3 linked regions of the Macaca mulatta genome follow. The protein of the gene in region 1 purifies or fractionates together with the protein of each later gene. This does not show direct contact. Links are inferred from orthologs where the notes say so. Each region holds a gene or a part of one and is shown on either strand. Other genes may lie near its edges.

Region 1 (5,088 bases):
TCAAGCCTGTAATCCCAGCACTTTGGGAGGCCGAGGCGGGCGGATCACAAGGTCAGGAGATCGAGACCACAGTGAAACCCCGTCTCTACTAAAAATACAAAAAATTAGCCGGGCGCGGTGGCGGGCGCCTGTAGTCCCAGCTACTCAGGAGGCTGAGGCAGGAGAATGGCGGGAACCCGGGAGGCGGAGCTTGCAGTGAGCCGAGATCGCGCCACTGCACTCCAGCCTGGGCAACAGCGTGAGACTCCGTCTCAAAAAAAATAAATAAATAAAAAATAAATAAAATAAAATGAGGACTGGCTGGGCACAGTGGCTCATGTCTGTAATCCCAGCACTTTGGGAAGCCGAGGCAAGCAGATCATGAGGTCAGTAGTTTGAGACTAGCCTGGCCAACATGGCAAAACCCCGTCTCTACTAAAAATACAAAAATTAGCCAGGCATGGTAGCGTGCACCTGTAATCTCAGCTACTCGGGAGGCTGAGGCAGGAGTAACACTTGAAACCAGAAGGCGGAGGTTGCAGTGAACTGAGATCACACCACTGCACTCCAGCCTGGGCAACACAGCAAGACCCTGTCTCAAAAAAAAAAAAAGAAAAGAAAAAAAGATATTAATTTAATCCATCAACAATGACATGCTGAAATTAAGAACTCTTCCTTACTGTTCACTCAGCAGTTATTTATTTTTATTTATTTATTTTGAGACAGAGTCTTGCTCTGTCACCCAAGCTGGAGTATGGTGATGCCATCTTGGCTCACTGCAACCTCTGCCTCCCTGGTTCAAGTGATTCTCCTGCCTCAGCCTCCTGAGTAGCTGGCATTACAGGTGCGTGCCACCACACCCGGCTAATTTTTGTATTTTTAGTAGAGACAGTTTTCACCATGTTGGCCAGGCTGGTCTCGAACTCCAGACCTCAAGCGATCCACCAGCCTCGGCCTCCCAAAGTGCTGGGATTACAGGCCTGGGCCACGGAGGTTGGCCAAGCAGTTCTTTTCAATACAAAGACTATGTAACTATGTTACCGAAGGTTAAAGATTTGATAGTGGGTTGACGAGGAATTTTTGTCTTGTCAGCCCTTTGTGGGCCAGAATATTTTGCACCGGCACTCTCCGCACAGAGACATTTAATATCATGGCCTTATCCGAAATTCTGACTTGACTCTGTATTTTCAGACTGACCTGACTGAATTTAGCAGCAATGTTTCTAGACACCTGCACTGACTAAAGGATTCCAGCCATCATCTCTTTGGTTTCACCTAGGTCAGACGAATGATAGTGAGTGGTGAATCCTTTTACAGAAACCAGACTTTCACCTGAGCTTTTTTAAGCTGGGTCACAGCTATGATAAATCGGCTCCCAAGTGGACAGCCACAGTGATATCATGCCACAGTGATAAAGGAGTCAAGGCCTAGTTCCAAGGCCAGCTTGGCACTTGTATGGCCTGTCTGAGCTCTCGAGATTATTGGGAGAAACAACAATTTGGAAACGGCCATTCCGCCCCCTCCTGGAGTCTTGCTTTCCGCGTCTCTACCGAGACTGATGGAACGGGCTTGCAGTCCCAGAATTTTGGTGAGGTGGAGGTGGGAGGATCGTTTCAGCCCAGGAGTTCGAAAACAGCCTGGGCAACATAGCAAAACCCGGTCTTACAAATACAAAAATTTTAAAAATTAGTCGGACGTGATGGCGTGTGCCTGTAGCGCCAGCTACTCGGGAGGCTGAGGCAGAAGGATCGTTTGGGCCCAGAAGTTGGAGGCTACAGTGAGCCGAGATCGCGCCACCGCCCTCCAGCCTGAGCGACAGAGTGAAACCCTGTCTCTAAAAGAAATAGAGGCCAACCCTGCAGAACCGCGTCTGCAGCCCGGGCTTTGTGACTTCTCTCCAACCCCCACCCAGTCACAGACGCGCCCACTTTCCGCCGCGCGCGCCGGAAGTGGCCGAGTCCCGTCGGCCCCTGCGGGGCGCTCGCCGTCGCCATGGAAACGAAAGCGGCCCGGGAGCTCTCTGCCCTAACGCGCCGGCTACGGTGGGCTCCGGCCTGCTACGCCGCGGCGGACAACGATGCTGAAGGCCAAGATCCTCTTCGTGGGGCCTTGCGAGGTGAGTCCCAGCCCGGCGCGGCAGAGGGAGCGGGGAGCAGGCCTCGGGGCCTGAGCGAGCGCAGGTCCCCACCCGTCTGGTCTGTGGCTTGCTCCAGGAGGCGGGAACCCGGGCCCACCGCGCCCATCCCGGCTGGCGCCCCTGCCCTTTCCGCGAACTCCGTGCTTTCAGACCTTGATTCCAACGACTGCCCGGAGGAGGTAGTGGAGGCGAGCCCGGTGTTAATGAGCCCCGAAGGCCCAAGGTACTGAGTGGCGTCACTGGAACCACAGCCTAGATTTCGTGACTCTTTCTCTTGCCTCCGGGATCCACCTGATGAATGCGTCTGTGGGTCTGGACTTTTGTTTGAGACAGGTTCTCGCCCTGTCGTCCAGGCTGGAGGGCAGTGGTGTGATCATAGCTCACTGCAACCTCGACTTCCCTGGGCTCAAGTAGTCCTCCTGCCTCAGCCTCCTGAGTACCTGGGACTACAGGCGTGCACCACCACGCCCGACTAGTCTCGCCCTGTCACCCAGGCTGGAGTGCAGTGGCATGATCTTGGCTCACTGCAAACTCCGCCTCCCGGTTTCAAGCGATTCTCCTGCCTCAGCCTCCTGAGTAGCTGAGATTACAGGCCCACACCATCACCCCTGGCTAAGTTTTGTATTTTTTGTAGAGATGCGTTTTCACCTTGTTGGCCAGGCTGGTCTCTAACACCTGACCTCAAGTGATCCGCCCGCCTCGGCCTCCCAAAGTGCTGGGATTAAAGGAATGAGCCACCACGCCTGGCCTTAATTTGTTAATTATTTGTAGAGACAAGATCTTGCTATGTTGCTTAGCACCTAGGCTGGTCTCCAACTCTTGGGCTCAAAAGGCCTCCTGCCTCAGCCTCTCAAAGTTCTGGGATTACAGGTGTGAGTCACTGCTCGAGGCCTGGGCGTTTTACTATATGGTCCTGGAACCACTGGCTATTAATGTGTTTGTTGGGGGTGTGGTAGTGGGGATCAGATCACATCTACATGTAAACTTCACATCATCCACAGAAATAAAGCTCAGATGAACTAAAGCTAAATGCGTTAAAAAACAAAACAAAACAAAACCAAAAACAAAAAACTGGCCAGGCACGGTGGCTCACGCCTGTAATCCCAGCACTTTGGGAGGCCAAACAGGTGGATCACCTGAGGTCAGGAGTTCGAGACCAGCCTGACTAACATGGTGAAACCCCATCTGTACTAAAAATACAAAAATTAGCTGGGCATGGTGGCGCATGCCTGTAATCCCAGCTACTCGTGAGTCTGAGGCAGGAGAATCACTTGAATCCGGAGGCGGGGTTGCAGTAAGCCAAGATCGCGCCATTGCACTCCAGCCTGGGCAACAAGAGCGAAACTACATCTAAAAAAATAAATAAAACTGATAGAAGTCTTAGGCCAGGCGCAGTGGCTAACACCTGCCAGCACTTTGGGAGGCTGAGGTGGGGAGATCACTTGAGCCCAGGCATGCGAGACCAGCCTGGGCAACATAGGGAAACCCCATCTCTACAAACAATACAAAAATTAGCTGGGCATGGTGGTGCACATCTGTAGTCCCAGCTACTCAGGAGGCTGAGGCGAGAGGATCACTGGAGCCCTACAGATCAAGGCTGCAGTGAGCTGTGATCATGTTGCTGCACTCCAGCCTGGGCAACAGAGCAATACCTTGTCTCAAAAAAAAAAAAAAAAAAAAAGCAATGTGTATTACTCATATAATCCAGATGGACAGACTGCTCCATGTGAGATTATAAGACAGCTAGCCATGAGTCCCCAGGCTGACTTTGATCCTCTCTGTGACCTAAAAGAACTCCTTGGCCAGGCGCAGTTTCTCATCCCTGTAAACCCAGCACTCTGGGAGGCCCAGGCGGGTGGATCACCTGAGATCAGGAGTTCGAGACCAGCCCAACTAATAAATACAAAAGTTAGCTGGGTGTGGTGGTGGGCGCCTGTAATCCCAAATACTTGGGAGGCTGAGGCAGGAGAATCATTTGAACCTGGGGGTTTCAGTGAGCCCAGATCACAGCCTGGGCAACAAGAGTGAAACTCTGTCTCAAAAAAAAAAAGAACTTAATCCCATGCTCCCTGGGCCCCAGACCAGGCTGTGCCCACTGCACTAGAGCAAGACAGTGTGGTCATAACCACCCCAGTGATCTCAGGGTGCCAATGACCTATACTGCACCGCACCAGCTTCCAGGCCACCTCTTGGGGTGATTTTTTCGGTTTCCTTTTCTGCCTTTCAACAAAGACCTTTATTTGCACTCATTTTCACAGAGTGGAAAAACTGTTTTGGCCAACTTTCTGACAGAATCTTCTGACATCACTGAATACAGCCCAACCCAAGGAGTGAGGTGAGCCCTGACAAATCTGTGTCCACAAGAGTGCCCAACTGGCTGGGCAGGGAGGCTCATGCCTCTAATCCCAGCGCTCTCGGAGGTCAAAGTGGGAGGATCGCCTGAGCCCTGGGCAATATAGGGAGACCCCATCTCAACTAAAAATAAAACATTAGCCAGGTAAGTTGGCATGTGTCTGTAGTCTCAGCTACACAGTAGGCTGAAGCAGCAGGATTGCTTAAGGCCAGGAGTTGGAGGCTGCAGTGAGCTATGATCGTGCCACTGCACTCCAGCCTGGGTGACAGAGTGAGACCCTGTCTCAAAAAAAAAATTTAATAATAAAACAATCTAAAAAGACTGCCCAGCCATCACCCACCTCCTACTTTTGTTGCTGTTGGCATTCCAAAAGTGTAATGCAGCTTCATTATTGGTGCTACTGCTGCTCTTCTTCTTCGTCCTGTCTCCCAGGCTGGAGTGCAGTGGCACAATCTCGGCTCACTGCAACCTCCACCTCCCAGGTTCAAGCGATTCTCCTGCCTCAGCCTCCCCAATAGCTGGGATTACAGGTGCCCACCATCATGCCCGGCTAATTCTTTTATTTTTAGCATAGCGAGGGTTTCACCATGTTGTCCAGGCTGGTCTCGAACTCCTAACCT
Region 2 (4,066 bases), on another chromosome or scaffold:
AATGGTATTTGCCCTACTGACTTTTCACTTTGATAACCTTATTAGTATCAGAAACAAGTTAGCTGTAGACGGATTAAAATGAAAAGTGTGTTCTCATTTTTCTAACAAAAACAGGATATTGTAGATACATTTCAAATTTCAGTTATCCAAAAATGTGGCCCTTCTATACTTTGTAGTGGCAGACACAAGAAAGAGATCAGTGAGCCCTTGAAAGTCACGTTATAAACACGAACATATATGTTCAATCTCTTGTATTAAGTTTTCTTCCAAAAAACTGCCAGGCATCCACCACTTACCTCATTTTTTGCAACTGTTAAGAAAATTGCCCGATACACAATCCTTTTGAAAACTGTAAAGCTGGGCCATTTCTGTGGTCAGTTATGTACCTTTTCTTGAATTTTCTAGGTCAATAACTGCAGAATACAGTAGTAACACCCTATCTTTAGCCACACTTAGAGCTTTAGGGCAGGGAAATTCCTTTTAAGACCATCTCTATTCTGCTGGATTTAACGAAGTACCCAAAAACTTTATACTACATGTTATGGGTTTGAAACAGATTAAGCAGCAGGCTGGAAGCTTAGTATTCTTGTTTTTGAAGTAAAACAAAGCCTCCCAAATGCCTCCTTTTGTTCGTTGTCTTCTTCCTCATCCTTCCAACCACTTTCCTAGCACTGGAGTAATAGCCAGGCAATGCAATACAGTACTTCAAGCTTTACAGTATACTGTTATGTGCAGCATTGCCTAGTGAGAGAAAGATAAAATTAAAAAAAGAAAGAACGAGAGAAACCTCTTGTTGGAAAGTTCCTGCAGTAAAAGTGAAACCTATGGTATTGACTATCTTTACAACTATGAACAGCTTCTCAATTCTGAGAAAATAAAGGTATCAGTGGGCCAGTGCAGCCTTCAATACTGCACGTCTTCACCTCCCTTTAATCTTTTTAACAGCTACTAGCTGACCCAGATGCCCGCTTAGTTGCCTTTAGCAACCACCAGGTCCAACACACCTCAAGCCAGCTCAGAGTCACTAGCCGCCTCTCCTCAGTCTTCCAGAAGCCGAGGGAGGAGAGGCAGCGGGGGGTGGGGCGCGAACACCACGCCTCCATGAGGGGCGGTGCTGCTTCCCGACCACCATTTCCGCGGAGGCAGGGCAAGAGGCGGGCCACGGGCGACGTCATTCAGGAAAGCCGCCCTGATTGGAGGGAAGGAGGCGGAGTCTAGTTTCCCTGGTGACGGGTTGTCCGGTGGTCGCCTGGTAACCGGTCGTGGCTGTACTGGCTGCTGCAGGGCTGGCGGCTTAGGCCGCAGAGGTCTGTGGGCCTGAGCCCACGCTGCACTCTGTCCGTCCTGCGATGACTGCTGCCCTGGCCGTCGTCACGACGTCGGGTTTGGAAGATGGGGTGCCTAGGTCCCGTGGCGAAGGGACCGGGGAAGTGGTCGTGGAGCGGGGGCCCGGCGCGGCCTACCACATGTTCGTGGTGATGGAGGACTTGGTGGAGAAGCTGAAGCTGCTCCGCTACGAGGAGGAGTTCCTCCGGAAGAGCAACCTGAAGGCCCCGTCCAGGTGGGTGCCCGTGTCCCCAAGCGCCTGGGTGCCTGCTAGCCTCCAGGGAGATGCCCTCCTTGGTCCTGCTGGGAACCAATTCCGTGAGAGCGGGTTAGCAATTCCTTGCCTCCGTCTGCCTAGCCAGAGAAGGGCACTTCACTCCAAACTCCGGGGAGGTCCGTGGAGCTCACGCAGCCCTGACTTGCTGTTTTTGTAGAGAGAATAAATAAGTTTTGGAACGGCAGAAAGGATTGGAAGACAGCTTGCCTGTTTTTTTTTGTTGTTGTTGTTGTTTTTTAACACACACGCATTACCACAAAACACAAACTGTATTTTATGATTGTAAAGATAAAACAAATACTCATTGTAGAAAACTCAGAAAAACACAAGAAAATGTCTAGAAAAATTATAAAACCGCCCAAAATCTCGTCTCCAGAGAGGAATGCCATTATCACTTAAGGCTTTTTTTCTAGTTTGGGGTTTTTTTGTTGTTGTTGTTTAAGACCCTGTTTATACAACTGGGGACCGTGGGTACTTACGACCCTGTTAAGGAGCGCTTTAAATGCGGCTAGTAAACTTGTTAACTACTTGCTATGGTTTAAAAGACTTCTGCCTTTGCAATAACCATACTCTCAGAAACTGAAAAGTGGAAAAGACGAATGACAACTATTGAATTGTCTCCTATCATAGAACCTAAAGTTCTACCCTTGTTCCGGTGGGGGAGAAGTCCAACATATCCTGAACGCAGTGCCATTACTTGCTGAGGGTAGTGGTCGGCTAGGACCTTCTCCTCAAATCACTGTAGCTTAGCAGTAGCCAGGTAAATCAGTTTTATAGCTTTTCTTTCACTTTAATACTTACGTTTATTTTATTCCATAAAAGGCAATCAATAGTAAGAATCTATAGTACTTAATGTCTACAGCCAGGCTCAAATAATTTCCCTTGATAGTTTTAATCTCATTCCACTGCTCTCTTACAATAAATTGAATTGAAAGATATGTAGGCTTTATGTAAACTGTTCATATTAAATTAGTCCATAGTCGGAGAAAAGATAAAGGAAAAAAGTAGTGTTGCTTGATCCATGTTAGAAAAGGTAGTCCTGGGATTATTAAAGTGAATCGATCAGGATAGTATAGACAACCAACATTTCCTGTATTAATAAAAATGCATTTTTTTCCAAGTGTATTTTTCAAATGAAAAGAAAATGACCTTAAGGTTCTGTTGATGTCATCTCTGTGTCTTCAGGGGTTCAGCAGGACACTTTGAATCATGGATTTGTGTGGGAATATCCTAGTCTAATGGTTCTCAAAGTGTGATCACCAGACCAACAGCATCAGCATCACCTGGGCACTTACTAGAACTGAAATGCCTCAGGCCCTTTCCCAGGTCTATCTACCTTTTCAGTAATTATAAGGATGGGGACTAGTGGTCTGTTTCAGTAAGTCTTCCAGATGATTCTGATGGACACTAATATTTGAGAACCACTGTCCTAGGTTTACAGTATCTATTGGTGTTCATTCCTGTGCTCTAGAGGAGTTATCTGCCAATAAGGAAAAGATGACTTTTTGGTGGGTGGATGCTTTGAAAGGATAGTTAGCATATACCTGGAAGGACTTCATGGCCTTTTTTCTTCCCAGCTTTCTGTTATCTTCCAGAACGTTTACACTTATCCTGCAGGATAAAGTTTGGGAAACATGAAGGAGTACACGACTGATTTTTATGACAATGATTATAATTGTTGTAAATACATTGCAAACATAATAATGATAGCTACACATGAACAAGAAAAATAAGATCTTTGATTAAACTGACTTGAATGTTGTTGCTAGTGAGTTTTATTCCTATAATGTTTAGGTATAAATCATACTGATCCTCATAGAACTGTGTTTAGCAGACCAGGGGATTAAGCAAGAGCCCACAGATGTTTTTTAGATTGGTGATGTGACATTCACAGTTTCTTAATCCTGACTACACCTTATAAACATGTAGAAAGCTTTTGAAATATACCCCATACTGGGCCTACACTCACTGAAGTTCTGATTTAATTCATTCATGAGGGAAGAAGCAATGTTTGGCCAAGTACCAGTATTTTTATTAGCTCCTCAGGTGATTGAATATGCAGCCAAGATAAAAACAAATGTTTACCATAGGTGATAGGTTAGAAAGAGTAAAAATGCATAATGAGTAATCTTTTGAGATCTCTTTTAAACTCTGAGGTCCTTCCAGATTACCATTTTCGTTAATAAGGTACTAATATATTATTACTGACACTTAAATCATTTTGACAAAAACTCTACATGCTCTGTGCTCTAACAGGCACTACATTTCCCGGGTGTAAGGTCTTTGATCTCATATTTTGGGTACAGTAGTAATTGCGCTAATCCTGATGATTTAAAAATTTAATGTGAGTGCTGTGGATTACTGGAAACTTGAAAGGGTGAATTATCGAGGCCTTTTGATTTGATGGCCATTGGGGGGAAGAAAGATTGTTGGACAGTTGTGAATTCGGCCCTATTAGTTATT
Region 3 (4,262 bases), on another chromosome or scaffold:
TGAGTAGGATAAGGATAGAAGTTCTCCACAAGTTCATTTTCTTCCATTAATCATCATTCTTTGAGTATAGCCACTCAGAGTTAGAAATATCTACCTAGAGTACTGGCTGTCACCCAATTCATATTTCTCTGTCGGGTTCACAGGGTATCTTGAGAAGCTTTGTCTGAAGCTTTGTCGAAATGTTTAGAACATGTTCCAAATGGGTAGGAATTCCATCAGACAAACAGAAATGTATAGGTTTGGTTTAGCTTGTAAACTAATGTTACTGCTACTTCCAATTTTAGTACTTCCTTGGTTACATTTTCAAGGCTACCATTTTAATAATGAATTTTAATAATTTTAGGGTTTTGTTGAGAATTAGCATTCAAGTTTATCAATCTGTATTTACAGAATTCATCATCTTTCTCCTCTTAAAACTAAGGCTTGACAATTCATCCCACACTGACTGTTTTTCTGGTATCAATAGTGTCAAAAGCTGTGGTAAGATTGATAGAGAAAAGAGGCACAAAAAATTAAAATATATGTGTTTTCTTACCAATGTTACCACACTTTTAATACTATCGATACTAATTTTTAAAATATAATAGAAAGTGAACTGTATTCTAATAAATAAAAACTAAGAATAAATGCATTTTTATAAAATACTGATACTGGCCGGGCACAGTGGCGCATGCCTTTAATACCAGCACTTTGAAACGCTGAGGCAGGAGGATCACTTGAGGCCAGGAGTTTTAAGACTAACCTGAGCAAGCTGGGTGTGCTGGCTCACGCCTGTAATCCCAGCACTTTGGGAGGCTGAGGTGGGCGGATTACGAGGTCAGGAGTTTGAGACCAGTCAGGCCGACATGGTGAAACCCCGTCTCTACTAAAAATACAAAAATTAACCTGGCGTGGTGGCGGGTGCCTGTAATCCCAGCTACTCAGGAGCTGAGGCAGGAGAATCGCTTGAAACCGGGAGGCAGAGGTTGCATTGAGCCAAGATCGTGCCATTGCACTCCAGCTTGGGCAACAAGAGTGAGACTCCGTCTCAAAACAAAGACTAGCCTGTGCAGCATAGCAAGACCCCATCTCTACAGAAAAAAAAAAAAATTTTTTGGCCTCCCAAAGTGCTGGGATTACAGGCATGAGCCACCGCACCCGGCCTAATTGAGTATTTTTATGGTATTCCATGTTGTTCTCCTCTGTTGACCTTCTTCCTGTACCTCTGTGTTTTTGTTTTTTTGTTTGGCTAGGGTAGTCAGGGACTTATTTTGTGAAGCAGAGTGGCAGAAATAGTCATGTCATATAGATTATCCCTGGGAGAGGTTTCTTATATAAACAAACATGTTAGAGTCCCTCCCACATGTTGAATAGCTTGGCTGTTAAACCATCTGCTAGGCAACAGCCTTTCCTTCTCACTTGGTTTTCTCAGATAAAGTTTAGAGAATCAAGAAGTTGCTTTTTTTGTTATTTTTTGATTTGCAGGTTAAACATTTTAAGATGAGAAAAATTGATCTCTGTCTGAGCTCTGAAGGGTCCGAAGTGATTTTAGCTACATCAAGTGATGAAAAACACCCACCTGAAAATATCATTGATGGGTAAGAGTTACTATAGTTTGTTGTTTACAGTCTTAAATCAGTGAATCCCTTGAGTACTTGGACTGTGTTTTATAACAACTTGCCCTATTAAACATAGTTTAATAAATGTTTGGTGAATTATCTGATATCCACTTTTGGTACCATTTCTGAAACTAATTCAGTTGTGTATATTTAGGTTTTTGATCCTTTTCTTTATAATGCCTAAACTGAACTCTTCATACAAATAGGTTTTTTTAGAAGTGGTTTACCAAGGCAAAAACTCAAACAACTTCATTTTATGGAAGTGTAAATTTTAAGGTCTGGTTTTGGTTTTACTCCAAGTTTTTCTTGGAATAAGAATGTAAATATTATAACTTCCTATATACTACCTATTTCCTTACTGGTCTAAGTGATATCTTTGCAGAACTGAATGCTTCATTCCGTGCTATCACGTATTGTTTTGCCTCTCCCCTTGTTGATATCCTTCCAATTTCTACTCTTCATTGTGCTACAGCTTTTTCTAGGTGGATATTTTTCTAAATATTGTTCTTAGACTTCTGATTCCAAGAAAAAGCAGTTAATGGGAGAACTCCTTTTTTTCTTTTTTTTTTTTTTAAGACAGAGTCTCACTCTGTCACCCAGGCCAGAGTCCAGTGGCGCCATCTTGGCTCACTGCAACCTCCACCTCCCGGGTTCAAGTGATTCTCCTGCCTCAGCCTCTTGAGTAGCTGGGACTACAGGAGTACGCCACCACACTGGGCTAATTTTTGTATTTTTTAGTCGAGACGGGGTTTCACTATATTGGCTAAGCTGGTCTCAAACTCCTGACCTTGTGATCCACCCACCTCAGCCTCCCAAAGTGCTGGGATTACAGGCATGAGCTACTGAGCCCACCTGAGAACTCCTTTTTATTTTGAGACGGAGTTTTGCTCTTGTTGCCCAGGCTGGAGTGCGATAGCACAATCTCGGCTCACCAAAACCTCCACCTCCCGAGTTCAAGTGATTCTCCTGCCTCAGCCTCCCGAGTAGCTAGGATTACAGGCATGCACCACCACGCCTGGCTAATTTTGTATTTTTAGTAGAGATGGGGTTTCTCCATGTTGGTCAGGCTGGTCTTGAACTCCCGACCTCAGGTGATTTGCCCACCTTGGCCTCCCAAAGTGTTGGGATTACAGGCGTGAGCCACCGTGCCTGGTGGAGAACTCCTTTTTTAATACTTCTGGCTTATTACTTTCTTGAACCCTCTTTCTTGGTATATGTACAGTGACCAGAGTTTGACTCATAGAACCATCTAATTTTAGGCCTGGAAGGACTTGTGGGTTTATTTTGCCAAAACCCTTTATTTCAGACTTGTGGTGAGAGAGGTCTAAGGAGGTTAAGTACTACTTTTAATTATTGAAGGCAGAACCAGTTGTAACAGAGGTTTCATGATACTTTATGTATCTTGAAGCCCATGTATCTGGATGAAATTCTAGCAACTCAGCCTCTTCCTTGAAGCCTAGTTGTAATCTTTATGACAACTGACTTTTCCCCTCAGATTCCTTTAGCTCTTTGCTGGGGTCCAATAACAGTTGGTATATACCTCTGTTACCTTACTTTTTCCTTTATTGTATTGTTTATTTTTAATGGTTGTTTCCTCTCTCAACTGTGAATTCCTAGAAGTCAGAGACTTTTTCTATGAGTCAAACTTGACTAATATTGGAAAGTAATCAACATCTACACACACACGCATACATATAAACACATATATATGCACATATTACTCTACATTTGCATAGGGCTTTATAATTTCATAGATACTTTGTCAGTTGACCCTTACAGTAATCTTGGGGAATAAGAAGCACAAAAAAGTATTTTCAACTCCTTCGTAAAGATGAAGAAAAGAATGATCAGATGACTTGCTCAAAATAAAAATGACTTGCTCAAAATTACACAGATAAGCAAGAGGCAGAATCAGCTAACACTCATGTCTTCTAACTTGTACTCAGGGATCTTTGTGCTACACTGGGTTAACTCAAACTTAGTTTGAATCAAAAATTTAATATCTGCTTTTTGCCTGTGTCTCTTCTTTCTTTTTCTTAGTTGTTTACTTCCTGAAATTCAGGTAATAGTTACTATCCTACTCTGACTTGGAGTAGAAAAATTAATATGGGAATTGCTTTAAGAATACACAGAACTGTGGAGATTTGCCTTAAGTTGTTTGCCAGAAATAGAGGACTTTCCAGAAACACTCCTTGATTTTGATTGGAGATAGATTAGTTTTCCAAGGCAAGATCAATTTACCTTGCAATACTTTGGTGATCTTTCTCTCAAGCGAGTCTGTTTTATATGTTTATAGAATGTTAGGATTAGCTATCATATATTGCAGTTAATATTTTAGGCTCTGTCCATTTTGATAAATAAGGACATAATATTTTTTAGATTAGACAAAAACTCTTAGTACAGGAAAACATAAGGAATAATGTAGTTACTCTCCTGATAACTGAACAGAGTACATAGGGGACTTTTAATGCATATGCAGTTCTAGAAAATATAATTAGACTGTATATTGTAGACACTAAAAGTTAATTTCTGGCCAGGTGCGGTGGCTCATGTCTGTAATCCCAGCACTTCAGGAGGCTGAGGCAGGCAGATTAGTTGAGGTCAGAAATTCAAGACCAGCCTAGCCAACTTGGTAAAACTCTGTCTCTACTAAAAATACCAAAA

The links. Proteins that work in one complex are often made in the same cells at the same time.
Region 2: the proteins of IFT22 (region 1) and IFT57 purify together in Homo sapiens (affinity purification with mass spectrometry; 3 studies listed by BioGRID and IntAct, counting the BioPlex papers as one, with this or other methods). This does not show direct contact. The link is inferred for Macaca mulatta from reciprocal best matches to the Homo sapiens genes IFT22 and IFT57.
Region 3: the proteins of IFT22 (region 1) and IFT25 purify together in Homo sapiens (affinity purification with mass spectrometry; 3 studies listed by BioGRID and IntAct, with this or other methods). This does not show direct contact. The link is inferred for Macaca mulatta from reciprocal best matches to the Homo sapiens genes IFT22 and IFT25.

The regions. Positions count from the first base shown.
Region 1 is NC_133408.1:48,589,937-48,595,024, reverse strand, and holds the start of IFT22 (intraflagellar transport protein 22 homolog), read left to right. Parts: upstream 1-1,958; 5' UTR 1,959-2,055; coding exon 2,056-2,094; intron 2,095-4,373; coding exon 4,374-4,450; intron 4,451-5,088. UniProt on the Homo sapiens protein: Small GTPase-like component of the intraflagellar transport (IFT) complex B.
Region 2 is NC_133407.1:175,430,679-175,434,744, forward strand, and holds the start of IFT57 (intraflagellar transport protein 57 homolog), read left to right. Parts: upstream 1-1,266; 5' UTR 1,267-1,349; coding exon 1,350-1,561; intron 1,562-4,066. UniProt on the Homo sapiens protein: Required for the formation of cilia. Plays an indirect role in sonic hedgehog signaling, cilia being required for all activity of the hedgehog pathway.
Region 3 is NC_133406.1:186,671,223-186,675,484, forward strand, and holds the start of IFT25 (intraflagellar transport protein 25 homolog), read left to right. Parts: upstream 1-1,462; 5' UTR 1,463-1,479; coding exon 1,480-1,577; intron 1,578-4,262. UniProt on the Homo sapiens protein: Component of the IFT complex B required for sonic hedgehog/SHH signaling.